Elephas maximus indicus: one gene and its partners. The protein of the gene in region 3 purifies or fractionates together with the protein of the main gene of each other region. This does not show direct contact. Links are inferred from orthologs where the notes say so. Each region holds a gene or a part of one and is shown on either strand. Other genes may lie near its edges. The genes, in order: MRGBP, JAZF1 and bromodomain-containing protein 8.

Region 1 (9,969 bases), on a different chromosome or scaffold from region 3:
AAATAATTGCTACAAATTCTCCATATCTGGCATATAAAAACTGAGCAAAAAGTATCTCAGTATCTCATTGCCTTAAAAGAAAACATCTCAGGAAAAATACAACACAGGTTTAACGTCTGTGGCTATTTTTTTCATATAAAACACTAGTAAAAATAGTCTTCTTAAAAATTAAATAGTGAAATGCCAACCAAATTATATACATTGTTACAGTACAAGTGAAGGAGGCAAAGTTCTTAGGTGCAAAGGTGGCACCATCAAGGGCGCCGAGGCCATGTCCGAGGCCGCTTCTCCTGATGCTGTTCCCTGTGGAACGAGAGGCTCCGGACGACGGAAAAACAAAGGAGGAGGAGTCAGTCCCCGGGGAAGACTAATGGCTACTTCTGAGGACAGAGAGAAAACGGCATTTTTATTGCTTGCCAGCTCGAACACGTTCTCCTTGTCCGGACCCTGCTCCACAGGGGTCCCTCAGGGGCCCTCTGCAGCAGCCCAGGCAGGAGCTAAGCAGGCGTCCCAGGAAGCAACGTGCACGCAGGAGAAGACAGCTGAGACCCCTGTGCAGCCCTCAAGATCTGAGGTGAGCTGTCCCTCGTCCTTTGGAGTCCCTCAGGGTCCTACAGAGTCCCCAGAGTCTCAGTGGGCACCATGAAGCCTCTGTCCGCTTCCCTGGCCAGATGGCACGTCCCCCGGTGCTGATGCAGGCAGCACCAGACGGTCAGTGCTGGGGCCCAATGACCCCCGCTGACTGCACTCCCTCCGCCCCCCCCACCCGTAGCCACCTCTCTGCTGCTGCCCAGCATGGGGTGTCTATGTCCGGCGCCGCTTGGCAGCACTGGGGCTGGAAGGGTTGCTGTTTGCTGTCAGGACCTTGTCGGTGACCCGGCTGCGCTTGCGCTTGTCTGCCCCTTCTTTGGATCCTAAATCTGAGGAGTTCTTTTCTTTCTCTTTGCTGGACTTTTCTGCTGCTTTCCCCAAGCTTCCCGAAGATGAAAATACTGATTGAAAAAAAAAAAAGAAAAATTCGGCTGTAAGTGCCAGTCACGCTGGAAACAGAAGGTCCAGACTCTCGCTTCGCCTGCCTGCTCAGCTCAAGTGCTCCACATGCGTGCGCACACATGTGCACACACACACACACACACACATACACACGCAGCTCTCCAGAGTCTCTACCAAGCTGCGGTCTCTGCCCGAAAGGGGCCTGAGCAAGCCTTCCCACCGTCAGGGCCTCAGGCCTCAAGGACTCTGCCACAGACATGACAGCAGCCTCACCCCTTGCACCCTCTAACCGCGCTCACACAGCTGCACAGGAAACACCCGTGGGGCTGTCTTGTCTGTGTTCTATGTTGAACAGACCACGTCGCCCCGACCAGTAACTGAGGCTGTGCTGCTGCCCTATTGGCCCCAGATGGCTGTGACAGTGTCACCGCACCTCAGCGTTCCCACCCTGCAGGTCGGAGCCAACGTTTATACTAAGCCAGAGCATTAAAAAGGGGTCAGCCAGCAAGCTGACGCTCCTGCTGAGGAAAGCGGTGATGCATATCCACGCTGTGGGTGCCTCACAGGGGTGCTGTGCCTGTCCTCTGGGGTGGGGGATGCACACCGCTCACACTCACCATCGTCAGCCCCATTGTGAGGGTCCACGTCTTCCTTCATTTCCTCTTTCATCTCCTCCTCAATGATCACTTTTCCTGTGGAGGGAGACCGACGGCCCTGCTTGGGGGAGGCTCACCCGGTGAGCAGCAGAGCCAGGGCAAGGCCAGCCAACGCTGCAGACGGCACACGGATTCTACCGCACCGCTTTTCAAGGAAAGAACCCTCTCCTATTGTGGAAGTCCCCTGGCCCCCAAGTCCAGGCTGAGCGGGGCCCCTAAGTACCCATTCACTCCCCTCCCAGACCCTGGTCCTCCCTGGCACGTGGCCTCACCCAGTGCTGCCGCCCTCAGCCAGCTCCCGCCTTTTACTAGTCTCCAAACCCCACTTCAGTGGCCTGCGTCTTACCTTCTCGGACCTCCTGGATGATTTCCTCTGGAAGGACGAAGTTCCTCTCTGGATTTGGAAAGGGGAGGATCTCGGACTCATGCTGACGTCAGAGAGGGTGTAATGTTTTTTTAAGAAATGAAGAAAATGTGATTTCAGCCATTAAAAGTGTATGCAGGAGCAACGAATGAATGTAGACACCCAGTGTCCTGGGGGTGGGGACAAGTAGCACCCAGAGCGGCCCAGCCTACCCACTAACACACTCCCAGAGCCAGGGCAGAGGCAACGCTGTAGGTGCTGCACAACTGGCTCACAGCTTGCTCACCCAAGAGCTGGCCAGACCACAGCCGACTCAGAGTGCAGGGCAGAGGGCAGGGAGGGGCTGACAGAACACAGTGCTGCCACCTCTGTCCACGTGGGCGACACTCAGGGAAGCTGGGTGAAGCCTCTCAGGGGTAAGGAGGCAAAGCAGCAGAGCACACTCACCAATGGACTCTGATCGGGGCTCTCCTGTCCTCTAGGCCATGGGTCCCAGAAGGGACAGAGACCCTGGAAAGGCAGGACCACCAGACGGGAGGGAAAGATGGGCTGGTGGGACAGTCCTGGCTGACCTGGGAGGTGGGCTGTGTTCCGCCAGGTAGCCTGCCCACACCTGCAGGCTTACATGTGCCAATCAAAACCTGTGCACTCCAAAAACCCCACAGACTCCGGGCCCTTGAAATCCATCTGCCGGGATGGGTCCTGGTGGTTTGGAGTCAGCCTGTGTGGTCCTTGTTCTAGAACAGATACCATCCCCACGTCTCCCTCCCCCAGTGACGTAAGGAGCCATTACAGGAATAAGGCAGGGAGGGGAGGGGCTGGCACTCCCTATCCCCCTGAGCTCACAGGGGCGGTTTCTACAGCCTGGCTGCCTCGGGCCTGACTTCACATGACTGTGATCCTGAGCCAAGCCCACCTCAGGAGCGGGCCATGGACAGGGACTGTGCTGCATAGGCTTCTCTGAGCCCCAGCTTTTACCATTGCTAGCCCAGGGTTGGGGCTTGGTGCCCCCACTACCTTTCACAGGTCACCCTACGGTGTTACAGGGCAGGTGTCGAGAGGGCAGGCCCGGGGCCTTCATAGCCTGGCTGAGTCCGTGCTCTGCTGAGTGGGGAGAATCTGGGCACTGCTGACCCCTCGGCACCCTAGGTCATTTGGAAGTGGCAGGGTGTGGCCTGCCACTGACCCAGAGAGTAGTAACAAGGAATAAGTGACCAGTGCCCAAGCTCAGTCACTTGCAGTAACAGCAACTAAAGCTTCCCCTGTGCCCACGACCGGCTACTCACACCCCTGCCTACAGCAGCCCACAGCAGCATGGCTACCATCTTCCTCCCTTCTTCACAACTAGGAAGAGGGGAACTCGCCCAGGACAACCGGCAGTGAGTGGAAGAGCAGAACCTGAACCCAAAAAGGCCAATATGTTCACGGCCTCGCCGATGTGCTGCCCAGGCCTTGGCCAGGGGCTGGTGCACCCAACTCAGTGCGTGGGGCACAGTGGGTCCCAGCACCAGCAGAGGTGCCCACTCCCCTGGTCACCTGATAACCCCGCCCTGTCCAGTGCAGCTCCGTCCTGGTTCCCTAGTTAACCCACTCGCCCTTTGGCTGCCAGCTATGAGCTCTGCTGGCTCCATGAGAAGCCACAGAGGTCCCCTTCCTGCCTGCAGCACGCCGGGACTTCCCACAGACTAGCGATGCTGCTGCCTCTCCCTGAGCTCAGCTAGCAGTCCAGGTAGCTACGCTGCCTGCACTTGAGTGCCTGGTGCTGGAAGACCCACCCCAGGGCCCACCAGGGACTGGCTTCCACCAGCAAGCTTGGTTTCCACAAACTGGGTGCCCTATTGCGAGAGAGCCCTTGTTTAATGCCCTGTTGTCCACTGCATGAGGGCCGGGCCTGTCCTGTGGGGGTCCTCAGCTACCCATGCAAGGAAGTCTGAGCTCAGTCTGGGATGAAGAGCTCTGATTCTATACACAGGACGATCAGGGGTCAAAGCTCACCAGTGCCTGCATGTCATACATAGTGCTCAGGTGGTCCCAGATAACCTTGGATGGGACTTGCCGCCCTATGTTCTGGCTGAACTTGTCCCGGATGCAAATCATGTGGAAGTGCCGGTTCACACCTGCCAGAGGCGTTGGGAAGCAGGTAAGGGGGCAGAAGAAAGGGGCACGGGCTGGACAGGAGAAGCCAGCAGGTGTCTGTGGTTGGGACAGCAACGGCTGGTGGGGGGACAGAGATGGGGGGAACAGGAGGGGAAGGGGTCCGTGGGGGGGTACAAGGGGGGATCCACAGTGGCAAAGGGCAGGGATGAGCGGGAGGGGCCGGGTGGAGAGGGCCCGCTAGGTGGAAGGGTCCGCGCGGTTTGGGGGGGTCCGTGCAGTGGGGAGGGGGCTCACGCGGTTTGGAGGGTCCGCGCGGTGGGGGGGGGTCCGCGCGGTGGGGGGGGTCCGCGCGGTGGGGTGGGTCCGCCGCCGCCCCGCCCTCCGGCCCCCGACGGTTACCCTGCCGCCCCGCCCCCACGCGAGTCCGCGGCCTCCGGCGCGCTCACCAACGGGCTTGTGGCCCAGCATGGCGTGGAAGAGGCACACCTCCACTTCGGGACTCCACACCACTGTCTCCTCTGCCGGGCTGGTGGCCGCCTCTCCCGGGCCCTTGTCGCCCGCGGAGCCGCCGCCGCCCACCTCGGCCTCCCCCATGGCCGGCGGCCGAGCTGACCCGGCGGGAGGCGCGGCCTCGCTCCGCGCAGGCGCACACGCAGGCGCGCGCTCGACTGCGGGACGCGCTCGGGCTCGCGCTCTGGCCCTGAGCAGGCGCAGTGTTGCTTGGGCGCGGTGCGCGCCAGCCGCGCCCCCTGGCGACAGCCTGCCGCGGCGCAGCGCCCACGTGTGCGGGGACTGGCGCTGTGACACTTATAATTTGGGGATTTGTTTTTAAAGCACAATTTTAAAAAGAACGCTAAAAAAAAAAAAAAAAGAGGAGCATCAAGTTGGAAAAGGATAGCGAGAATGGCTGCACAACTTGGAGAATGTAATCAATGTTACTAAATTGTACATGTAGAAATGGTTGTGAGGGCGAATGTTTTGTTATGTATTGTTTTCAACACAATAAAATAAAATAAGAACATCATTACCAAAACCCGTGCCGTCGAGTTGATTCCGACTCATAGCGACCTTATAGGACAGAGTAGAACTGCCCCCATAGAGTTTCCAAGGAGCGCCTGGCGAATTTGGACTGCCAACCTTTAGGTTAGCAGCCATAGCACTTAACCACTACACCACCAGGGTTTCCGGAACATCATTAGGAAAGTGAAAACACAACCTACAGAGTGAGAGAAAATATTTGCAAGTTATATCTGATAAGGGACTCATATCCAGAATACATAAAGAATTCTTACAACTCGATAATAAAAAGAAAACCCAATTAAAAAATGGGCAAATGATTTGAATAGACATTTCTCCAAATAGGATAGATAGATGGCTAAAAGGCATCAGGGAAATGCAAATCAAACCACAATGAAATACCACATCACATCCGTAGAATGGCTAGAATAAGAAAGCAAACAAACAAAAAATAGCAAAGAAAACCCCAGAAACAAACAAGTGTTGGCAGAGATGTGGAATAATTGGAACCCTAGTACATTGCTGAAGAAATGTAAAATGGTTTAGCTGCTGTGTAAACAGTTTTGGCAGTTCCTCAATGGTTAAACAGAATTACCGTTGGAGCCAACAATTCCACTTCTAGGTATCTACCCAAGAGAGAAGAAAAATACATGTCCGCACAAAAACATGTACAAGAATGGTCATAGCGGCATTTTTCATAGTAGCCAAAAGTAGAAACCTCCCAATTGCCCACTAACTGATGAATGGATAAACACAACATGGTCCATCCGTACAATGGAATATTGTTCAGCCATATAAAGGAATCCCGCACGTGTCTGTCAGTTTGTTGTACTGTGGGGGCTTGCATGTTGCTGTGATGCTGGAAGCTATGCCACCGGTATTCAGACACCAGCAGGGTCACCCACGGCAGACAGATTTCGGCTGAACTTCCAGGCGAAGACAGACTAGGACGAAGGACCTGGTGGTCTACTTCTGAAAAGCATTGGCCAGTGAAAACCTTATGAATAGCAGCGGAACATGGTCTGATATAGTGCTGGAAGCTGAGCCCCTCAGGTTGGAAGGCACTCAGAAGACGGCTGGGGAAGAGCTGCCTCCTCGAAGTAGAGTCGACCTTAATGGTGTAAATGGAGTCAAGCTTTGGGGACCTTCATTTGCTGATGCGGCACGACTCAAAATGAGAAGAAATAGCTGCAAACATCCATTCATAATCTAAAGGTGCAGTGTTCGAAGTGTGAATCTAGGAAAATTGGTCAAAAAGGAAACGGCGCTTGTAAACACGGATACCCTGGGCATTAGGAAGCTGAGCCGGACTGACACCGGCCACTCTGAATTGGACGGTCATATGGTCTACTGTCCCAGGAAGGACAAGGTGAAGAGGAATGGTGCTGCATTTATCATCAGAAAGAACATTTCAAGAGCTATGCTGAAGTACAACACTGCCAGTGACGGCGTGATATCTCTCCCAGCCATCCGGCGCTGCTATAACAGAAACACCACAAGGGGATGGTTAAACAAAGAAATTTATCCTCTCAGTGTCTAGTAGGCTACAAGTTCAAATTCAAGGCGTCAGCTCTAGTGGAAGGCTTTTTCTCTCTGTTGATTCTAGAGGAAGATCCTTGTCATCAATCTTCCTTTGGTCTGGGAGAATCTCAGCGCAGTAACCTCAGGTCCAAAGGATGCGCTCTGCTCCCGGTGCTGCTTTCTTGGTGGTATGAGGTCCCCCATCTCTTTGCTCACTTCTCTCCTTTATATCTCAAAAGAGATTGGCTTAAAACACTATCTAATCTTGTAGACCCCATCTATGTAACTGCCAATAATCCATCTTATTACATCATAGTGATAAGATTTACAACACCTAGGGAAACCACATCGGAAGATAAAATGGTAGATAATCATACAAGGGAATCATGACCTAGCCAAGTTGACAGACATTTTTGGGGGACACAATTCAATCCATGACAATATCCATATGCCTACAAAGAAGACTGGTTAATATGACTATTATTAAAATCTATGCCTCAACCACTGAGGCCAAAGATGAAGAAATGGAAGTTTTTTTTTTACAGACTTCTGTAGTCTGAAATTGATCAAACATGTATTGTTTTGTTATGTTGTACACAGGGTTGCTATGAGTCAGAAGTGACTCAAGGGCACCTAACAACAACAACAACAACCCATTATCAATCACTGCCCATTTCTCCCCAACCTCCCCTGTCCCAATGCTCAGGCAACCACTGCTTTACTTTCTGTCTCCAGAGATTTGCCTTTTTAGAAATTTAATATAAATAGGATTCTACGATAGGTATTCTTTTGTGACTGGCTTTTTTCCCTCAGTTTTCTAGGTTCATCCATGTTGTAGCATGTGTCAGTGTTTCATCCCTTTATATTGTTGTTGTTGTGGTTAGGTGCCGTTGAGTCGATTCTGACTCAGAGTGACCCTATGTACAACAGAGCAAAACACTGCCCGATCCTTAGCCATCCTCACAATCCTTGTTATGCTTGAGCCCATTATTGCAGCCACCGTGTCAATCCATCTTGTTGAGGGTCTTCCTCTTTTTCACTGACCTACTTTACCACTTTACGAAGCATGATATCCTTTTCCAGGGACTCGTCTCTCCTGATAACATGTCCAAAGTATGTGAGACATAGTTTCACCATCCTTGCTTCTAAGGAACATTCTGGTTGCACTTCTTCCACGACAGATCTGTTCATTCTTTTGGCAGTCCATGGTATGTTCAATATTCTTTGCCAACACCACAATTCAAAGGTGTCAATTCTTCTTTGATCTTCCTCATTCATTGTCCAGCTTTCACATGCACATGAGGTGATTGAAAACACCATGGCTTGGGTCAGGCGAACCTTAGTCTTCAAGGTGAAATCTTTGCTTTTCAACACTTTAAAGAGGTCTTTTGCTGCAGATTTGCCTAATACAACGTGTCTTGATTTCTTGACTGCTGCTTCCATGGGTGTTGATTGCAGATCCAAGTAAGATGAAATCCTTGACAACTTCAATATTTTCTGTTTATCATGATGTTGCTCATTGGTCCAGTTGTGAGGATTTTTGTTTTCTTTATGTTGAGGTGTAATCCATACTGAAGGCTGTGGTCTTTGATCTTCATCAGTAAGTGCTTCAAGTCCTCTTCACTTTCAGCAAGGAAGGTTGTGTCCTCTGTGTAACAAAGGTTGTTAGTAAGTCTTCCTCCAATCCTAATGCCGAGCTCTTTTTTACATAGTCCAGCTTCTTGGATTATTTGCTCAGCATATAGATTGAATAGGTATGGTGAAAGAATACAACTTTGATGCACAACTTTCCTGATTTTAAACCAAACAGTATCTCCTTATTCTGTTCAAATGACTGCCTCTTGGTCTATGTACAGTTTCTCATGAGCACAATTAAGTGTTCTGGAATTCCCATTCTTCACAATGTTATCCATAATTTGTCATGATCCACACAGTCGAACACCTTTGCATAGTCAGTAAAACACAGGTAAACATCTGTTTGTATTCTCCACTTTCAGCCAAGATCCATCTGACATCAGCAACGATATCCCTGGTTCCGCCTTCTCTTCTGAATCCAGCTTGAATTTCTGGCAGCCCCCTGTCAATGTACTGCTGCAACTGCATTTAAATTATTTTCAGCAAAATTTTACTTGTTTATGATATTAATGATATCGTTCAATAATTTCTGCATTTTGTTGCATCATGTTTCTTTGGAATGGGCACAGATGTGGACCTCTTCCAGGCGGTTGGCCAGGTAGCTGCCTTCCAAATCTCTTGGCATAGACGAGTGAGCACCTCCAGTGCTGCATCCGTTTGTTGAAACATATCAATTCAAATTCCATCAATTCCTGGAGACTTGTTTTTTGCCAATGCCTTCAGTGCAGCTTAGACTTCTTCCTTCAGTACCATTGGTTCTTGATCACGATTTAGGAGATTAAAATTGGAGCCATTATTTCCTGTCCTTGAGTATAAAGAATGTGGCCCAGCTGGAGCTGGACTCACAAAGACACATCAGCTGGGCGCTGAGGTATAAAGACAACAGCTGGACAATCTTGGAAAATATCTTTTAGGAAAAGTTTCACATAAATAAATCATAAACAGAGGAAAATGATCTACATATTTCCCACTCTTATCTCTTCTTACTGGCATTTAGTAAATAGTAAGACTCGTTGGACTAATGAAAACCCTCCTGACTCTTGTTACTGAAACCCGTACCAATGATTACTAAGAAAGACAATTGAAAATGCAGAATCGCTGTGAATTAGCAGTTTTCAGCCAATTTGTGAAAAGGCGAAGCCTTCAATGATTTTACTCATTTGTAACAATATCTACTGATGATTCTTTTGCTTTCCTTGGGCTGGGGCAGACGTGGCTCTGGCAGCATGCGTGTCCGTTTTCCCACTTTGCCTACTCTGTAATATTCCTCAGACTCAGGCAGACGTGGCTCTGGCAGCAGGTGTGTCCGTTTCCTGCTTTTGCCTCTTTGAATTTAGGCCGAATAAAACCTTTCTTTTTGCTTTAATATGACCTTGTGGCCATTTTACCCTAGGACAATCATACGCTTCCTCCTGAAATGGTGGAACGTTGACTAATTCTTTTTGGTTCAGGGACTATGTATTCCTTCCATTTTCTTTTGATGCTTCCTGCCTTGTGCAATATAACGGGTACAGGTTTCTATCTGGGGTGATGAAAACATTCTACAATTGACCACGGTTACGGTTGAAGAACCCTGAGTATACCAGACACCATTGAACTGTGCACTTTAAACGGGTGAATGGTATATTATGTGAATTCTATCTCAGTAAAGCCGTCATAAAAATAAAGAGCAGAACAGACGCTATT
Region 2 (10,466 bases), on a different chromosome or scaffold from region 3:
TGACACTGGGCTAGTCCTAAAACGAGGTCTAATCAGAGTTGGGCCACAATCATGGGAAGGTATAACCATTATTATAGACCCAACCTAAAAGATGATTGAAGACTATCTTTCAGAAATATCACATAAGAGAACAAATAGTTAAAAACTGCTTGAATATATAAAACTGAAGTTTTAACATGTTGCCTTACGTCAGTGCCAAGCTCTGCCCCCATACCACATTTACAGAGCACTCTGTGCAGGTGCGATGAAAGATTGTCTTTTCCCAAGGGGACTACAATCAGTGCAGTGGCCTCCAAAGCGGAGTGCATTCGCCCTAGGATGTGGGCCAGGCAATCCTCTAGGGTGTGGGATAAAGTTATTAGACCTTCTATTTGTAAAAAATCATCTTCTTAAAATATCTGGTTTGTTTTTATAACATGCATACTATATTTGAATAGCACTGCCTTATATAATTTGGAGGAGCCCTGGTGGCACAGTGGTTAAATTGCTCTGCTGCTAACTGAAAGGTTGTTGGTTCAAACTCACCAGCCACTCCACGGGAGAAAGATGTGGCAGTCTGTTTCTGTAAAGATTACAGCTCTGGAAACCCTATGGGGCAGTTTTACTCTGTCTTATAAGGTTGCTATGAGTCAGAATGGACTTCGGTTTGGTTTATACAATTTGTAAACAAAAATAAATATTCATGGGATCAGGGTTCAATTTTTTTTTTTTTTTTAATTTGATGAGGCTCTTAATAAAAAGGTTTGGGAACCGCAGATGTAGAGAAAAAGGAAGACCAGTAAGCCAACAGTCAAAACAGTGCAGAGGGAGTTTGGCTGGAGAAAAGATGATAAGCATCCAGCTGGTCAGAGTATGGAGATATAGGGAAGACTTCCTGGAGGAGGTAGCAGGTTGAGTTACTAAAGTGTATTTGGTTGGGGGAGAGGAAGGAAGGGAAAAAGAATGTTCCAGGCAAGTGACATAACTGGTGCAAAGGGGTCCCTAGAGAATACTGTGCATTTGAAAACTAAAAGTAATTTGGGAGAGCTTGAGCCATCAATATACGTGCGGGAACTGAAAGGGGTAAGGCTGGGAGGCTTCTTCAGAGAATAGATTATGAAGATCATTGATAAATATATTCTGCTGGTGAAAGGTTACCCCTGAGGAATTCCAGTAGAGAAGGATGAGATCATGGAGCAGTGTTCCCAACTAGCCCAGTCTCTGTCGACACTTGCCTGAGTCCTAGAGGAAAAGGACTGCAACAGTGGGAGGTGATAAAACCTCAAAATGCTGGCACAAAAAAGGTGCTAGCAGCATTTGTAGAGACAGAAAACCCTCAACACTGGGCAATGCTAGGGGGGCACTGATAACTCCTAAGGATACATCTCTGGGCAAAGGCTATGAAGTCTTTTACAAGCATTAGTGCCTCAGTGGCTCCCTTACAGTCAACAACATCAGGAGTTACCACCTCAGTGGGTCAAAGCTGCAACAGGAGCCTTGCATAGATGTTCAATCGAGATAATGAGCAAATGAAATCGTGACAGTTTAGCTGCTGTAATGACCTTATTTTAAATCTCAGGCTGGCCTGGCCTGAGAAGCAGTGGTTCCCTTCAGATTTAGGTTTGGAGCTATCGTCCTGGTGCGGGCGTGGCAGATTAAAGAAGGGTGGTGGACACAGGAAGCCCAGTTAGAACTGCAGTCATTGGCTGGGTATTTCACTAATTTAGTTCTGGAGAAATCCTGCAAGGAATTGGAAATGAAATGCCATCTGTTACGTATATAGTCAGTACGGCAGAAGCAGTGCCGTAGAGAGCTGAAGGGTAATGCCCATAAGAACTGGTCGCTGGTGGCACCCGACTAGAGAACTCCCCATTACCCAACCTAAGAAAAAACCTAAGACCAACCCTAATTCTAGGCAAAATGAGAATTAATCACCAAAGAGCTGATTTGTTTCTGAGCTGGAGTAAAATTAATGCAAAGAATTTGGGGACTTGGTTGCATAAATATTAAACAAGAGGAACTGGAACAGTCGTCGTCCTCCTTGGAAGAAGGTGGGGCCTCAAGAAAACATTCCGCTGAGGCCAAGGGTGGTGGAGGTGGTAGCCTGAGTCATTGTTAGAAGAGACCATGAAGACGTGCGCTAGCCGGAGAAGACCTGGGTTCACGGTCTGCTCATTCTACACAGTAAAAGCAATGCCCGAATCCATTAAACGGCTTACTTATGGCTGTTGTTGCTGTTAACTGCCATCTAGTCAGCCTTCGACTCAGGGCAAGTTAATGCACAACGAAATGAAATGCTTCCTGGTCCCGCGCCATCCCCAGAATTGGTTGGGGCTGTGGATCCATAGGATTTTAATCAGCTGATTTTTGGAAATAGATCACCAGGCTTTTCTTCCCAGTCTGTCTCAGTCTGGAAGCTTTGCTGAAACCTGTTCAGCATCATAGCAACACGCAAGGCTCCACCGACAGATGGTGGTAGCTATGCATGAGGTGTATGGCTGGGAATTGAACCCAGGTCTCCCACATGAAGGCGAGAATTCTACCACTTCACCACCAGTACCGACTGCTTATGTCTAAAAAAACCAAACCATTGCTGTCTAGTCGTTTCCAACTGTAGAGTACAGAGTAGAACTGCCCCATAGGGTTTCCAAGGAGCGGCTGGTGGATTAGAACTGCTGAGCTTTTAGGTTAGCAGGCGTAGCCCTTAACCACTACACCACCAGTGCTTATGTCTAGTGATCCTGAGAAGCACCGTAAGAGGACTTGGGAAACAACCCAGAAAACCTGATAAAATCAAGAGTTGAAGACAGTATCAAGAGTTAACTTCAAAAAAGAACCCAATGTTCGTAAAGATGCTCTCGTAGCGCTAACAGGTTTCCGTGCCGGGCCTAGGAAGTACACGGTTTTCATTCTGAGCGTATCCCTAAATCACCCTCCTCTTGTAGGTGGAGGTCGGACAGCTGCGTAAAGCAGGAGCCTTCTGTGGCTTCCATGGATTCAATCAGACCATTGGATTCAGTCTAATCCAATGGTGGCTTCCCCATCCCATGGGCAGTGGCGGCCATGCTGACTTTTGGGACACTGCTTCTGGATTCCAAATCATTTCTAGATTCTGGAATCTAGACTAGAATTATTTGTAATGCTAAATACCAAGCTCTGGGGCCGTTATAGGTCTGGGCCTATGGTTTCAAATAGAAAGTCCAGGCAACACTTTTAGCCTGCAGCCGCCATAATATCCATCTGATTCAGCAATTTCTTTGAAATATTTTTATTACTCAAATCAGACAGACAAATGTCCTTTTTTTTGCAAGTACAGAGGTGTATCAGTCGTCACTCTCTCTTGGTCACAATAGGTTGGAGTGTTCGTTTTATATATTCTTATAGCTTAGATATTGACTTTATCTGAAGAAATACCCCTGAAACAGACATTTTTTTAAATGTAAGTTCACAAGGGTAAATATGCCATTGTAAAACATTTTTTTTTAAATGTGGTTAGTATATCTTTGTCCTACACTGGTTAAGTGTTAAGGCAGCTAATCGAAAGGTCAGCAGTTTAAATCCACCAGCTGCTCCTTGGCAACCCTAAGCGGGGGGTAGTTCTACTCTGTTCTATAGGATCACTATGAGTCAGAATTGACTCGATGGCAACGGGTTTTCAATGCCTTACTGAATGTGGGTAGTGGTGGTACAGTGGTAGAATTCTCACCTTCCATGAAGGAGATCGGTTTGATTCCTGGCCAATGTACCCCACGTGCACCCGTCTGTCAGTGGGGGCTTGCATGTTGCTATGATGCTGAGCAAGTTACAGTGAAGCTTCTAGACTAAGAGGGTCTAGGAAAAAAGGCCTGTTAGTCTACTTCTGAAAAGTCAGCCAATGGATCACAATGGTCAGCTCTGGTTGTGCATGGGGTTGCCAACGGTGGGTGGGGGGTGGTGACTCTGTGGCAGCTAACAACGCCCTAGTGAGCACTTTACAAATACAGAGAATAGACTGGCTGCGTGTGCTTGGGAGAACTCACTTGATGCCTCTGGCCTCCTCAGTTTACACATTCACAAAATCAGTGTGTCTGATGGCCAGAATGTCTTTCATATCTAAAAGGCCATGATCTTGTATATCATATCAAGGCCAGAAATGCCTAGAGTTTGCAGATTCAAAAAAAAAATTATATGAACAGAACATTACATTGCAAAGCTTCAGTGATACATGAAGAATTAACATGGTGACTTCATATAAACTGATTATTTACAAAATATTAATAATTACTCATGGTGAAGGAACAAATTTAATCTTGATTCATTTTATGAGTTGTTTTGGCTCACTTCATTAAAAAAATTCCATTTATTAAATTTTCTATCAAAGTTTTATTTTAAGAATAGAGAAATTGATGGCAGGTAGAGGAGAGCTAAGCGTTAGTGGAACCCAGTCCTTATACTTCCTTCCTCTTTCACCTGCACATTTCCCGTGTTTCCCACCTCCTGAACTCAGTTGTCTGAACCATCTCTGTCCCTCTCCTCACTCTCTCTGGAGACAGTAATTCCACATAGACAGTTTTTCCTCCACACATCAGAGCTGCTACTTCTTGGTGCTTTTCAGATGCCCTGTGGTAGACATGCCTAACATTCAGGTCTAGGGGAGGCTGTTTTGGACCATTCTGGAGAAACTTTTGCATTGCATTTCCATGTCTCTTGGTGTGTCTGCCAGATAGTCTGCCTGCTTCTCTGCTGAAGGCCCTTCCAGACTGGGCAGCTGAATGCATTGCACAGCAGCCAAAATTGTAGTTCAAGATCTAGAATTCTAACTCCTGCTCTTTAGACCCTTTTCTGGCCATGGCCCCAGTCTCCCATGAGCAGGTTCCTGGCTCATTATCAGGCCCACCCAGGCCCTGCACCCACCCTCAACTGGGCCCAGGAAACCATTCTTGGACACCAAACTGAACTTGAAGGACACAACTACTCCAGCCCCACCCAACCCAATTCTCATCTCAGCACAAGTTAGCCACATTCTGAGATGGGAGACAGAAGAGATGGGGGATGCCACAGGTGAAGGCTGTCGGATTGTAAAACTTTTTGCAACAGAAATACTACATGTGCCTTTAAATACTCAAATGAAAAGCCTTAATAACCCCATTATTAGAAACACTACAGGTGAATATAGTATATGGGGGGGGAATACTATTTTCTCAATGTATCTGAACCAGAGGGTAAATGAAATTTGCCCTAAGGAAAATGCTAAATTTAGTATACAGGAGTCAAGTAAAAAAAGCACTTTTGGATCATAAGCAGCTGACAAGGCCTAATATTCTCAGGCATAAGGGAAGTACTTCTGGAGAACACATACTTTACAGATCAAACTGTGAGTGCCATTGAGGCTGGGGTGGGGGTGGGGAACAAGGAAGTAATTGATTCTTAGCAAAATGCTGGTTTCCAGGGAAGCTACCAAATTAAGATGAAGTGCTTAGCTGGTCAACATTAAATGCTTACAGGATAGTGCAATCTTCATGGACTGGAAGAATATCTTCACTTTTAAATTAAGAGTAAGTACGTGCCTTGACCCTGTTTCTCCTCCTTCTAGCCTTAACCAAAGCATGGTCCTTTCTGCTGGGCAGCCTTCATCCCAGGGTGACAGCCTTGCCATGGTGGTGGGATGTTATAGTGTGGGCTAATTAAATTATTTTAGTTTTTGTTTTCCCAAAAGGATCAGGGAGTACAAACGTGGTACATATGTAAAACGCATCAAATGCATTTGACGACGAAGCACTCTATTTTAAAATTTAAATAAAGCTAAGATTTTCTTCTGGCCTAGAGGGAAACTTCATTAAAATCAATTAGTACAAACCTCCAGAGAATATGTTTTTTTTTTTTTTAGGGAAGGTTTAAAGAGTAAGGTGCACACAATTACCTTTCCTGGGTCCCTTGTGAACGCCAGTGTCACACCTAGCGAGGTGACCAAGTGCAAACAAATGTCCCCGAGAGGGATCCGGGGAAACTCCCTGAGTTCTCATCGCCGGGATGTACGTGTAATTAAGAGATGTTATATATTAAGAACGCAATACACCTTACCAAGAAGGCTCCAAATAAATTGTTCGCATTACAAACTGTGAAGGGCAGGCCGAGCGAGACAAAGTTGGGGACAGGAGCTCCCAGGTGAGGCCTCGGTCCGGGCAGCGGAGGTTAGGGCCGCACAGCTGTTGCCGCGCGCCCTGGTCCCTCCTCCCAGCTGCGGCGGCCTCTCTCCCACCCCGCCCTCCCCCCGCCGCTCCCGACGCCGCCGCCGCCGCCTCCCCTCCGCCTCCCGGTCTCTCCTCGCGCTCCTTCCATCGCTCTCGCCCCCTCTCCCTCCGTCCCGTCCTCTCCGCTCCCCTCACCCCGCCTCTCTCCCCCTCACCCAGCCCCTCCTCTCCTCACCCCACCCTGCCTCCCTCCCTCTCTCTGCCCGCCCGCCCGCCCGGCGCTCACAGAGCCGACACCAGGGGGGCTCTCGATGTAGCACCATGACAGGCATCGCCGCCGCCTCCTTCTTCTCCAATACCTGCCGATTCGGGGGCTGCGGACTCCACTTCCCCACCCTGGCCGACCTCATCGAGCACATCGAGGACAACCACATCGGTAAATGGCCCAGGGGTGGGCGGGGGTGCCCGGCGCGCAGAAACTCCTGCCCAGGCGAGAAGCCCCAGAATGGCCAGGGGTGGCCGGGAGGGAGGGAGGCGGCGGCGGGGCGGGGAGGGTGTGTGCGAGCCGGGGGGCGGCGGGCTGCGGAGGTGCGGGGTGCGGGGCCGGGGAGAGCAGGGCGTGGGTGGGGGAGGGGGCGCCCCGAGGTGCGGCGGGCCAGCTGGGGGAGTCCGAGGGGCGTGCGCGCGGGCTGCGAAGTGTGGGAGTGGGGGTGCACCGGGGCGGGAGGAGCGACCGGCGGCGGGGAGATGCCGCGGCGGGTCCGGCGCCGGGGGAGGGGGCGCCGGGCGCAGGGCGCGGCGGGGTCGTGCAGTCGGCTCTGGCAGGGGCGCGGAGTTAGTTGGTCGCGGCGGTCGGAGCGGCCTGAGGCGCCGGGGGCGGCGGGGGGTAGGCGCTGCACGCCGCCTGCTGCTTCCGCCCCGGCTCGAGCTGTCAGGGCTCGGCGGCGGCTGCAGCCGCCGGGAGGTGGGAGCGGGGGGGCGGGGGTGGCTCCACCGCGGCAGCCATTCCGCTTCCTCCTCCCGCCGCCGCCGCCACTGCGTCCTGTCAGCGCCGGTTGCTAGGTGTGGTGTGTCGGGAGGGGGCCTGAGCCGGCGGCCGCGCGCGGAGGATGGGGCGCTCGCCCTCTCCCCCCGCGGCAGCTGAGCTCGCCAGGTCGGGGACGCGGGGCTGGGCGCCCTCGGCGCCGGCTCCCTGCCCCGGCCTGGGCGGACGCCGGGGGAGCTGCGGGCTGAGGTCCGGGTGCACGGCGGGCCGCGCCCAGCGCCCCGGGGCCGGGCTGCGCCGGAGGCCCCGGCGGCTGCCTCCGCTGGAGAGAAATCCCCCGGGGCCAGCGGCTGGGCATTTAAATGCGCCCCGGTTCTGCGATTTGCCTTTCAAATGGTACTAGGCCCGAGGAGCGCCGGCTGTGCCCAGGGATTGGCGGCGGCGGCGGCGGCCTGCGCAGCGCCCGGGGCTCAGAGGACGCGGGGGAGGGGACGCCCCGCGGGGCGGGTGGTTTCGCTTCACGCCCAGAACCCGCGAACCTTCAACAAGTCCTTTAATTCGCACAAGTCCTTGCGCACATTCACACGTGTCCATCTGAAACCCCTGCGAAGGGAGATGGGCCGGGCTTGTCTGGCCCAGGCGACCCAGCCACCTGCGGAAGGTGTGGCCGGCGTCCGCAAATTGTCCTGCGGGGGCTGGAAGGTGAAGGGCCGCGAGATGCCCCATGGCGGCTGTGAAATCCAGGGAACCAGTAAACTGCCCCGGAAAGCCTTTTCCAGATCAATGCTACGGATTCAGCTGTGGGGATGCACCTCACGTTTCTACCAAGTGGAGAGAATAAATCACGACTGCTGTGTATTTAGGCACGAGTAAAATGAAGCAGAGCGTATGCTCCTTTGCTTAGGATAATGCTTTCTCTTTGCGCACAGTGGGTGCTTAATTAGCATTGGATGCCGGTTTAGAGTGCGATTTAATGGGCCATCGGATTGGGAAATAATAAAGGAAAATATCTGCAAAATGTTTTTTAAAAGAAAATTGTGTGAGTAATTATCCAGGTTTTGAAACTTTCAAAGTTGTAAAACATCCATCTTCTCTGATAAAGGCGTGACAGAAAAGCTGGGTGAGTTTTGGTAGACTTAAATAAAAGCAGGAGTTTAATGGAGTAACACATTTGCTGATTCATATCATGATCGAATGGTCATACTGAAAGTGCTTGAAAGAATAAATCAGGTTTTCATGATATCTGGTTTAAAATCATGCTAAAACTCCAGTAATGCAAATTGCAATAGAAATTTTGTTATTTCGAATTCCTTCCTCTATTCCCCATCAGCCAATAACAAATAAAAATAATAATAATAAATATTTCCTGCCCCAGGGAAGGCTGTCATTGCATATCCCATTCATTTTCCATAACAGTTATTTCAGGACAAACTAATTTATGTAAGGTAATAATTTTGGCCCATTGCCTGCCTACGTGGAATAGCTAGTTAAAAGAAAATCTAAATTACATTTATTAAAATATGTTAAAGGTAGTCATCCTTCTTGAGCATTTAAATCTTACAAAAAAAAAATTAAATCTTAGACCCTTTAAAACTAGTTGTTGGTGAATCACAAGAGTTTTTTTTCTTTTTGTTTGCAAGCATTGTCTTTAATATTGTGCAAACACGTTTTAAGAGGGCTAGGAGTTCCATAAATTTTCTAAAACTCAACTTTTAAATAATGGTATGTCACCCCCTGAAAGGCTAATGTTTTTATTTTAATAGTTAAAATGTGAAAAAATTATGTTTATAGCAATAACTAACAATACTGTGGGCAGGGCTTACAATTATTATGTTTGGGAAACAGTTTGAAACTGCCAGACTTTATGAAAAGTAAATGTTAAAATGAGCAAACACTTGAGGTTATCAGGGTGAAGAGGACAACAAACTATTGTGTACCTCAGCCCAGGAAAGGCACCTTACCTTTAAAGGTAGCCCCATATGCAAAAATAAATAAGAACTTGTCTCAAGAAGAATAAAAACAAGCTGATTGGTAGGTAGTGCCATGTAGATACACTTTCAATGAAGAGACTTGAGTGGAAATATATCAGACAAAGCGTTTAGTGAAAGTTCTATCCATGTGTTATGTAGTATTTACTGTTTCTGGATCAGTCTCTAAATTTTTGGAGAAAATTGATGGTTGCATTTCGTAATTAATATTACTGATTGGGTGTCATTATTAGGGAGTGGCATATTAAGAAGGTGCATGAAAAGACTGTTAAGAGTTGTATATTGTTTTGTCTTTAATTTATTCAAAACCAGTTACCCTTGCGTCCATTCTGACTCCTGGTGACCCCACCTGGGTCAGAATAGAGCTGTGCTCCATAGAGTTTTCAGTGGCTGATTTTTCCAGAGGTAGATTGGCAGGGCTTTTTTTCGAGGTGCCATTAGTAGCTGTTCGCATTAGTTGTTGCACAATCCAGGGCCTTTTAATTTATTCAGGAACCTAACACTCAATCATAACAGTGTTAGAGATATACTTAGGTGAGGGTTCCATCTTTGGGACCTTTCTGGTTATTACCTTTTAACCGCTAGTCAAAATCCATAAGCAGTAGTAAAATGAAGGTTTATGGGAATAGTACATATTTCTTGATTTTTCAAGGCCTGAAGTTTTCACTATAACTACATTAACAGTTAGATATATTAAGTTCATTAAGTTGAGGGTAGCTGTCTCTGTTATGCATGTACACTTAAGCTCATGTTTTTAACCATTTTCCTGTTCCATTAAGAAACGAGGATTTGGGGCTTTAGAACCAAGGGAAGTGTGATTTCCCCACCCTCTGTTTTAGCTGTTTTCCTTTCTCCTGGAAGAGTGCTTTATCTGTTTTCCCTTTCTTCTTTGCATTTCACTGCTGGTCCGGTGCTGAAGCACCTGTCTCTGTGTACAGCTTGAGTATCCCAGCTAAAGCCCCCTCCCCCCCATCCGGAAATCCCCCAGCCCTAGAACTGTGAAGTGCTTCTCCCTCCAGCTTCACTGTCAACAAGAAAAGCTGATCAGGATTTGTTTGCTTCTTAGACTGAGTAGATGCTTGAGGTTGTAGGAACACTCTTGACATGTGCATCCTAGATTAAACTGGTAACCAGGAATCATAGAAACACCAAGAGCACTAAATTTAGCCCTGAAGGTCATGTCACAGACTCATGAAATGCCTCCTGTGTCCCTGCATCCCAGTGCTATGAAGTCATTTGGCTTTTGGTCTCAGAAAGACAACCTGTTTAATCATTCTTACTTGGTGAATTATTTAAAGGCTATGCTTGTAAAAGTACTTCTGCATTTTGAATTTATTTAATAAT
Region 3 (10,218 bases):
TTCAGAGACTCTTCTGACATCTATTTTGGTCTCTCTTTCTTTCCTGTCCTTTTGATGATCTTTTGTTTTCTTCAAGTATGTCATCTTTGATATCATCCCACAACTCATCTGGTGCTCAGTCATTAGTGTTCAATGTGTCAAATGTACTCTTGAGATGGTCTCTAAATTCAGGTAGGACATACTCAAAGTTGTCCTTTGGCTCTCATGGATTTAATTTTCTTCAGCTTCAACCTGAATTTGCACATGAACAATTTATGATCTGTTCACAGTCAGCCCCTACTTTTGTTCTAATGGTGTTGAGGTTCTCCATTGTCTCTTTCCACAGATGTACTTGATTTTATTCCTGTGTATTCCACCTGGTGAGGGCCACATATATGGTCATCATTTATGTTGTTGAAAAAAGGTTTTGCAAAATTCTATTATGTGCTGTTTGGTGTCGTTTCTATACCAAGGCCGTATTTTCCAACTACTGATTTTTCTTTGTTTCAACTTTTGCCTTCCAATTACCAGCAATTATCAAATGCATCTTGATTGCATGTTTGATCAATTTCAGACTGCAGAAGTTGGTAAAAATCTTCAATTTTGGCATTAACGGTTGGAGTGTAAATCTGAACTGGTCTTCCTTGTAAGCATATGGGTACTATCCTGTCATTGACAATGTTGTACTTGAATGCAATGAATAAATAACAATGAATGCAACGCCGCTCTTCTTCAATTTGTCATTCCTAGCAGAGCATACCATATGTTTGTCAGATTCAAAATGGCCAATACTAGCATACCATATGTTTGTCAGATTCAAAATGGCCAATACTAGTCCATTTCATCTCACTAATGCCTAGGATATCTATTTTAAAGCTTTCCATTTCATTTTTTACTTTCAATTTTTCTAGATTCATACTTTGTATATTCCACGTTGATTATTAAATAGATTTTGCAGCTGTTCCTTCTCATCTTTAATTGTGCTGTCTAATAAGGTACTTGTGTCTAGAATTAAAAACTCTTATAATTCAATAATAAAAAAAAACTTAAACAACCCAATTAAAAATGGGAAATCTGCATGCTTTTCTGTGGAATTTTTCTTGTGATGCGATAGATCGCTTTTGTGTGGCCTTTCTTGACACAAATAGGGTAATTGTGGCCCACCAAGGAGATTCGCCAATTCTGCCTTAAAATAGAGCCAATTCCAGAGCAACGAGAGGATCCCACCACCACCAAGAAAGAACAGCCAGGAGAGGAGAGCACATCCTTTGGACCCGGGATCCCTGTGCTGAGAAGTTCCTGGAACCAGGAGACATAGAAAGAAAGCGATCAAGTTGTAACCCTGAAGATGGCAAAAAGTGGTGGCAGGAGAGACCAGCAGTAGACTGTGCAGCGGGCTTCCCAGTTCATATGGCAAGAATGCTGAGTACCTGGGTGCCTCTGGGATTTATGGGTAGGGGCTAAAAGAGCTTTGTAACCCTTGCCTGAGCAGAGCAGAGGCCCAGGGCCAGAGGGTACGACTGCAAGCACAGCTGAAAAGTGGCTGTCCTGATGGAAGAACTGTATCCTGAGTGTTCCTAAGCCTGAATTATAACCTGTTACTTCCCTTATAAACCCCCAAATTGTATGCATTGTCTGTGAGTTCTGTGTGGCCACTGCAATGAACTATTAAACCCAGGAGAGAAGTAGAAAGTGCTGTGGGAAAGATGGCTGGTGACAGAAATGGTATAGATGGCAGATAAAGGAGGCATGACTGACCTCCACCTCATAGCAATCAGCCTTGGACTGTTGATCTTGATTCTCCTTTCCCCTTGTGAAAAGTGAAGAGGTCAGAGTCTGCTCCCATGCCATTTTTACATTCTACAAACCTAAAGCTACTCTAAAAAATAAACTGTATTAATAAAAAAATTGGGCAAAGGACTTGAATAAATTTCTCCAAATAAGATAGCCATATGTCTAATACCAAAGTAAAACCTGTTGCTGTAAAGTCAATTCCGACTGATAGCAACCCTACAGGACAGAGTAGAACTGCCTCACAGGGTTTCCAGGAAACAGCTGGTGGATTCGAATTGCTGACTTTTTGGTTAGCAGGCAAACACTTAACCACTGCACCACAGGGGCCCCATCATTATGTCCAATAAGCACCTGAAAAGATGCTCAAAATCATTAGTTACCAGGGAAACTCAAATCAAAACCACAATGAGATGCCACTTTTTTACCCTTTAGGATGGCTATAATCAAAGACAACAGCAACTGTTGGCGAGAATATGATAAAAACGCAACCTTCATATATTGCTGATGGGGATGTAAAATGGTACAACTCTGGGAAACAGCTTGGTAGTTGCTTAAAAAGTTAAACATACAGTTACCCAGCTATTACATTCCTACATATATAGTCAAGAGAACTGAAAACACGTCTACACAAAAAATTGTACAGAATGTTCAAAGCAGGGCTATTCAAAATAATCAAAGTTGGAAACAACCCAAATGTCTACCAACTGATGAATGGATTAAAAAAAAGGTAGTATATCCATACAATGGAATATTACACAACCATAAAAAGGAATGAAGCACTAATACATGCTACAACCAGAATAAACTTTAAAAGCATTATGCTAAGTGAAAAAAGCCAGTCACAAAAAAAGACCACATATTATATGGCTCCATTTACATGAAATGTCCCAGAATAGGGAAACCTATCAAGACAGAAACTATGTCAGTGGTTGCCTAGGACTAGAAGAGATGAGTGAAGGTGGGAATGTGGAGTGACTGTTAAAGGGTTCCTTTTTTGGGGTAATGAAAATGTTCCAAAATTAGACTGTGGTGATGGTTATACAATTCTGTGCTTATACTAAAAATCATTGAATTGTATATTTTACATGAATTAATTTTATGGTATATGAATTTCATCTCAATAAAGGTGCTTTTTAAAAAGAAAAATAGTACTTAAAGGTTAATATGATTAACTATATAAATCCACCAGCATGAAAAAGTATCCTACAGTTTTTAAGACCTAAAAAAACATACCTCCTAGATACCTTACCAATTTTGATCTCCACTCCTCATAACAGAAGATGCCAAACACAGCTTCTCCCGGATGGACCATGGCTCTGTGGGGCCAGTACTCAGCAGCTTGTGTTCTAAAAGGAGAGAAGGCTTAGCACAACCACTGAGACACTAGTTCTAAGCCCCAAAGGGAGAACTAAAGGCCTAATACAAAACATCCCAACGTGTTAGAACAAAATGGGCTACTATGGTGCAGTGGATAAGCACTGGGCTGCTAACCTAAAGGTCCATGGTTCTAACACCCCAGCTGTTCACGGGATAAAGATGTGGCAATCTGCTCCTCTAAAGGTTACAGCCTTGGAAACCCTATGGGGCAGGTCTACTTTGTCCCATAGGGGCACTATGAGTCAGAATCATCTCCACAGCAACAGTATTCCCAAATCTTGATATCCACCCATACAGTGAAATATCACCACTAGAGAGTGGTACTTATCCATTACATGGTAGCTGCACTGAGTATAAGGTAGAAGGAGCCCTGTTGGCACAGTGGTTAAAGCACTTTCTTGCTAACTGAAAGGTCAGGCAGCTCCACAGGAGAAAGATGTGGCAGTCTGCTTTTGTAAAGATTATAGCATTGGAAACCCTGTGGAGCAGTTCTACTCTGTTGTATAGGGTCAGTATGAGTCAGAATCTTCTCAATGGCAATGAGTTTTTAATAAGGCAGAAGAACACTTTACTTTCTTAAAGGCCACAGCTTCAAGCTTCGCTTCATTAAAAAACAGAAAACGTCAGATTAAAACATTAATGTCAGATTAAAACATTAATGTCAGATTAAGCAGTTCTCTCGAAAGGCCTTATTTCACTCATATTTTCTTCCAATTTTAAAACAAGGGCTTACTTCCCAGAATCTGAACGGCCACCTCCTCCTGCCGCCCCGCCTCCTTTTTAGCATAAACTTGCTTATTTCTGTCAGTCCACCCCCGCTGTTTACTGTGGGACTTAAAAGACCTTTTCTATCCACCAAACGGAGGGAAATGGCTGAGCTGCACGAAACGCAATTACCCTAAAGGCAGAAAAAGCTCCCGGTTAAAACATCTTATTTCCAGTGCCTCACAAACGTTCGTTAAAAAATGAATGATTTTTTGAGATGCCGGCCACTCCGTAAGGCGCACAACGTCTCTTTGTCTGCACGCCCAAGTTTCTTAAGGGCCTTTATCCCTTTAGGATTCGTTGAGATGCTTCCCTCACACCCTCTCTCCCAGAGACACAAGACGCTGCACTTCTGGGCCTCTAACCGTTGGCCTTCACGACGCCGTACAGCGCAGGTCTCTGAAGACCCTGGGCTCTCAGGCAAACCACTCCTCCCACTCTCTAAGTGTGTGACAGAAACCTGGTGCCTATCCTCGGCTCTACTAAGGCTTTCCACGCAAAAGAAGCACTGACACTCACTGCCCGTTCCCGCCGCCATCTTAGCTTCGAAGTCTCCAAGCTCCGACGAGGGTTCAGCCAAAGCGAACCTTGTGGAAGTCTGGGAAATAGAGTACGGGCGCTTGTTCGCGGTGGCTCCTGGGAAATGTAGTTCTTTCCCGGGAGGAAGCAAGCACAATAATCCAATCCTCTGGAGCGCTCCTCAGAAGGTGTTGCTAAGGAAGGACAGGAGATGGCGGCTGAAACCTCAGGCTTTCCTTTAGACTTCTTAGGAAAGAAATGTCTAGGGTTCAAGAAAACAGTTAAGGGTGACGAATCCCTGGGGACCCAACAACAGATTCGCGGCAGTTGGTAACCCGGACGCGCAAAACCGAAGCGAGGTCGACCTAAAGCAAACGGTCTCCTAGTCTCGCCCGCCCTCCTTCCATGCTCTGATTGGTAACTGCAGGCTTTGCTATCTGATTGGTCGAACGAACGCAGCGCGTAATTTAAAACATTGTATCAGTAACAAAGCTGCGCCTCGTGGGCGGAGTCGTGGTCCTCCGCGGCGCAGGTCCAGGTTCGGCTGCTGTGTGTGAGCAAGCTGGTACCGGAGCGGGAGCGAGTGTCTCGGCTTTCGGGTAAGTGTGCGCCTGGGCTGGAACCGGGGTTAACAACTCTTGCCCTCCCTGAACGTGTTTTCAGGAGCGGAGCTGCTGCCATCTCTCTGTTTCTGAACACTTCTACATTCACGATTGGCCTTGGGGCGAGTTTGGAGAAGCAGCCTCCGGATCCTAACTCTGGATTCCGCCCGTGTTTCACAGTATCGGAGGGCGAGGCACTGCACTTGGAGCGTGGCTCTCTGCTTTTAGAGCCAGATATCTCTGTTCTTTTCTGTTAAGATGGAAATGCCGCCTGAGACTGGGTTAAGGAATTAACTCCTCCCACCCCTTTCCCTCTGCAAGACTTTGGAAAGAAAAAGCAAAAAAAACAAAAACAAAAACAAAAAAACCCAAACTCGTTGCCGTCGAGTCGATTGCAACTCATAGTGACCCTGTAAAACAGAGTAGAACTGCCTCACGGGTTTTCCAGGGAACTCCTGGTGGATTCCAATTGCCGACCTTTTGGTTAGAAGCCGAACTCTGAACCCTAAGCCACCAGGGTTTCCTTGGAAAGAAAAACCGAAACCCAGTGCTGTCCAGTCGATTCCGACTCATAGCGACCCTATAGGACAGAGTAGAACTGCCCCATAGAGTTTCCAAGGAGTGCCTGGCCCATTCGAACTGCCGACCCTTTGGTTAGCAGCCGTAGCACTTAACCACTATGCCACCAGGGTTTCCTTGGAAAGAAAAGGCAGTAGGAATTCAGGCGTCCAGACCAGGTGTCCTGGGGCAAGGGCATTGTTTCTTACCTAGAAATTCACAGGCCCCTTCTGTCCCTAAGGTTCTTCTCCCTATCCACTCTTGTCTCTTTTTAGACCAAACCTGCCCTTGCTGTCATGTCTCAAGGGATCCTTTCTCCGCCAGTGGGCTTGCTGTCTGATGAGGAGGTTGCAGTCTCCCCCATGTTTGAGTCTACAGCTGCAGACTTGGGGTCTGTGATACGCAAGGACCTGCTTTCAGACTGCTCTGTCATCTCCACCTCCCTGGAGGATAAGCAGCAGGTAAAGGAGCTGTTTGGAGGCAGCAAGTGATAACCCCAGCCTACTAGTCCATACAGGGGTCTGAGAGTTTAAAATTAAGTGCCAGGACAAGTAAAAAACATAGAGGTATGTATCCGTGTTGATGTTGTTGTTAGGTACTGTCGAGTTAGTTCTGATTCACAGTGACTCTATGCACAACTTAATGAAACACTGCTGGGTCCTGCACCATTCTCACAATCATTGCTTTGTTTGAGCCCACTCTTGCAGCCACCATGTCAGTCCATCTCATTGAGGGTCTTGCTCCTTTTTGCTGGCCCTCTACCAAGCATGACGTCATCCTTCTCCAAGGACTTGCCTCTCCTGATAATGTGTCCAAAGTACATCAGATGAAGTCTCACCATCTTGCTTCTAAGGAGCATTCTGGCTGTACTTCTTCTAAGACAGATCGGTTCATTCTTTTGGCAGCCCTTGGTATATTCAATATTCTTTGCCAATGCCATAATTCAGAGCCATCAGTTCTTCGGTTTTCCTTATTCATTGTCCAGCTTTCACATGCATATGTCCATAAGAACTAGTATTTGTTTTGCATCAGTGAAATGTTATGTGCATGCTCTTAGTTCCTCCTGTGAGGGAGGTATAATAGTTATTTCTCTTTTACCATGAGGCACATACATGTTAAATTATTCACACAAGATTATACTACCATTAAGTAGGTGGAACTTATACTCATGTTTTAATAATATCAACCATGTTATTGTTTTTGGTTGCCCCATAGAGTTTCCTAGGCTATAATTTTTACAGAAGCAAGTCTTTCTGCTGCAGAGCTGCCGAGTAGGTTGAAACCGCCAACCTTTTGGTTAGCAACTGAGAGCTTAACTGTTGCACCACTAGGGCTCCTTTTATTGAACCCTTCTTTCTGTTAGGCCAGGGTTTCTCAACCACATTATTGTTGGTAGCTGGATAACTCTTTGTTGTGGGGGGGGGATGTGCTGTCCTGTGCATTGTAAGATGTTCAGCAGCATTCCTGGCCGCAACCCGGTAGATGCCAGTAGCACCTCCCCAGTGTGACAACTAAAAATGTTTCCAGATGCTGCTAAGTGTCCACAGGGGCAAGGGGACAGGGAAAGGCCTTGGTTGACAGCCATTGTACTAGACCCAATGTTAAATGCTTAACATATGTTAACATGTTTTGTCTTCAGAAAAACTCTACCCAGAAGCCTCCTCTCCTATAGAGAGATTCATGAGGCAGGGATCTTGATGTCTCTCACTGTAAACTACCAGACTATCCTGGTGCACCACTTCTAACTCAGATAATTGGTGTAGCAATTATCTTGCAAGCTAGTTTTGCAAGATACTGATGAGACAGGGAAGGGTGACAGATTAGTGAAAAAGTCCGTAATTTTGGGGTAGTGCCAGCATGATTCCTAGGAACTATGCTGTGTTTGTCCATCTGCTCAGAGGTGACAGCTGAGATTAATGTGGTTCCGGGCTGGAATTCTGCCACAGGTTCTATCTGAGGATAGTACAGAGAAGGTGAAAGTATACCTGAGGATCAGACCCTTGTTACCTTCAGAGTTGGAACGGCAGGAGGATCAGGTAAGTGTCTGAGGAGGGACAATTCAAGATGGAATGATACAGTACAGAAGAGGTTCCCAGGAATTTTTCCTTCTGTGACAACCATGTTTCCCCCCTTCTCAGAGTTGTATCCACATCGAGAACGCAGAGACTCTTGTTCTACAAGCACCCAAGGACTCTTTTGCCCTGAAAAGCAATGAACGTGGGATTGGCCAAGCTACCCACAGGTTCACCTTTTCCCAGGTATGGAAGTACTGGGCTGTGAACAAGAGACCAGCATGTAGAGGCAACTTTGTTTTCTCTGGAAAGAAAGCTTTTCTTTCTCTCACTCTCTGTCTGTGGGTATTCACACACACACACCATTATGAAACACCGTTATACACCCCTACAATTTGGGGGGTCTGTGTTATCTGCTAGTTCACTCTGTCAAGTACTATATGTGCATTTATTCACAACTCTATTATTGTCCCTGTTTTCCTGAAAAGGATGCTCTGGCACAGTGAAGGTAAGTAACATTACCAAAACCATGTAGCTAGTTGGTGGTAGAGCTAGGACTTGGATCCAAATCCATCCATCTTCAAAACTCGCCTTTGTGACCGTTACACTACCCCATTGTGTGTGCAGCATTGCACCTAATGTACAGCGTTCCTTAAGTATCTGTTGATTTGGCTGAAAGATGTAGTAACAGAGACTGGTTGAATCTTCAGTGTTGAGGGAGCAGCTGGTAGCAGTGTAGGAGGAAGCTGCTTAAGTGGACTCCAGAGCCACCACCCAGGAAGGAATGAATCTGCTGGGTTTGCATAGGAGACAAGTGGTAGATAAAGGATGGGCCTTTGAAGAACTGGTTCTGTCTCTAGATCTTTGGGCCAGAAGTGGGACAGGCATCCTTCTTCAACCTGACAATGAAGGAGATGGTAAAGGATGTACTCAGAGGGCAGAACCGGCTCATCTATACATATGGAGTCACCAACTCAGGGAAAACCCACACAATTCAAGGTAAGTGGTAAGGCCTCACAGGATTGCTGATTGTCCTGTAATGGTGTTGTCTTTGCTTTCGATGCTGTGAGTTAGGGGGAGAAAGGCACTTACCTCAGCTGTCCATCTTTCACATAACCTCTAGGGACCATCAAGGATGGAGGGATCCTGCCCCGGTCCCTGGCTCTGATCTTCAGTAGCCTCCAAGGCCAACTTCATCTGACGCCTGATCTGAAGCCTTTGCTCTCCAATGAGGTAATCTGGCTAGACAGCAAGCAGATCCGGCAGGAAGAAATGAAGAAGCTAGCCCTGCTAAATGGAGGCCTCCAAGAGGTGAAGTGTTGGTGTCTATAGAGGTGGGGTAGTGGTACAAATCTCTGGAAAGTTTTGTGCTTAACCTTTTCCCCGGGCCTCTCCAGGAGGAGCTGTCCACCTCCTTGAAGAGAAGTGTCTACATTGAAAGTCGGATGGGTACCAGCACCAGCTTTGATAGTGGCATTGCTGGGCTCTCCTCTACTAGTCAGTTGACCAGCAGTAGCCAGTTGGATGGTACGTACCATAACTGGGTTCTTGGCCAAGTAACAGGAACCCATTCCCTGTTCCCAGCAGCTGCCAGGGGTACAAACCAGAGGTTGCAGCCTGAGCTCTGCCTTCCAAGGATCCCCAGGCCAAAGGGGAGATGGACACTCTAGGGTTGATGCTCTGTACGTTGGCTTCTTCCCCAGAAACAAGTCACCGATGGGCACAGCCAGACACTGCCCCAGTAAGTGTCCCAGCAGACATTCGTTTCTCCATCTGGATATCCTTCTTTGAGATCTACAATGAGCTGATCTATGACCTGTTAGAACCACCTAGCCAGCAGCGCAAGAGACAGACTCTACGGTTGTGTGAAGATCAGAACGGCAATCCCTACGTGAAAGGTGTGGGAAAGTGGGGAGGCTGGCATGAACCCTGTAGTGGACTTGAGGGAAGAACTAGGGAAAGAGTTGGGTGCTCCCATCTTATACATTTTTTTCCTTTGGCCTCAGATCTCAATTGGATTCATGTTCAGGATGCTGAGGAAGCCTGGAAACTCCTGAAAGTGGGTCGTAAGAACCAGAGTTTTGCCAGCACCCTCCTGAACCAGAACTCCAGCCGCAGGTGAGGGGGTTCTGAGAGTCAACCTTCACTGTGTTCCAGTAAACGTATGTCTTCCGTCTAGTCATGGAACTTTTCCCCTTTTCTTAACTTTCAGTCATAGCATCTTCTCAATCCGAATCCTGCATCTCCAGGGAGAAGGGGATATAATCCCCAAGATCAGCGAGTAAGTTTGACTATTTAGAAATTTGGGCTTCGTGGCCCTAAATGGTAGTGTGAGGGAGGCCCTCAGAATTACTTGTGGTAGATCCTATGCTCTCCTTTCTTTGGTACAGAGACTTTTGGTGGCCCTCCCCTCTCCAGAACTATATAAAGGGCTGGAAGGCACATAACATATAGGATCCTTATGTTAAATCTTGTCCATCATTCCAGGTTGTCACTCTGTGATCTGGCTGGCACAGAGCGCTGCAAAGATCAGAAGAGTGGTGATCGGCTAAAGGAAGCAGGAAACATTAACACTTCTCTGCATACTCTTGGCCGCTGTATTGCTGCCCTGC

Evidence for each region.
Region 1: the proteins of bromodomain-containing protein 8 (region 3) and MRGBP purify together in Homo sapiens (affinity purification with mass spectrometry; 10 studies listed by BioGRID and IntAct, counting the BioPlex papers as one, with this or other methods). This does not show direct contact. The link is inferred for Elephas maximus indicus from reciprocal best matches to the Homo sapiens genes BRD8 and MRGBP.
Region 2: the proteins of bromodomain-containing protein 8 (region 3) and JAZF1 purify together in Homo sapiens (affinity purification with mass spectrometry; 3 studies listed by BioGRID and IntAct, with this or other methods). This does not show direct contact. The link is inferred for Elephas maximus indicus from reciprocal best matches to the Homo sapiens genes BRD8 and JAZF1.

What each region holds. Positions count from the first base shown.
Region 1 is NC_064843.1:5,188,876-5,198,844, forward strand, and holds the start of MRGBP (MRG/MORF4L-binding protein), read right to left. Parts: upstream 4,744-9,969; 5' UTR 4,705-4,743; coding exon 4,557-4,704; intron 4,131-4,556; coding exon 4,009-4,130; intron 2,078-4,008; coding exon 1,996-2,077; intron 1,686-1,995; coding exon 1,611-1,685; intron 993-1,610; coding exon 805-992; 3' UTR 1-804.
Region 2 is NC_064826.1:89,342,045-89,352,510, reverse strand, and holds the start of JAZF1 (juxtaposed with another zinc finger protein 1), read left to right. Parts: upstream 1-6,253; 5' UTR 6,254-6,470; coding exon 6,471-6,585; intron 6,586-10,466. UniProt on the Homo sapiens protein: Acts as a transcriptional corepressor of orphan nuclear receptor NR2C2. Inhibits expression of the gluconeogenesis enzyme PCK2 through inhibition of NR2C2 activity.
Region 3 is NC_064820.1:151,247,096-151,257,313, forward strand, and holds the start of bromodomain-containing protein 8, read right to left. Parts: upstream 4,619-10,218; 5' UTR 4,454-4,618; coding exon 4,435-4,453; exon of another isoform or gene 4,429-4,434; intron 4,395-4,428; exon of another isoform or gene 4,376-4,394; intron 3,120-4,375; coding exon 3,023-3,119; intron 1-3,022. Other genes in the region: kinesin-like protein KIF20A, read left to right, coding at 5,891-6,055, 7,541-7,630, 7,733-7,852, 8,467-8,605, 8,730-8,917, 9,004-9,133, 9,310-9,504, 9,613-9,724 and 2 more. UniProt on the Homo sapiens protein: May act as a coactivator during transcriptional activation by hormone-activated nuclear receptors (NR). Isoform 2 stimulates transcriptional activation by AR/DHTR, ESR1/NR3A1, RXRA/NR2B1 and THRB/ERBA2.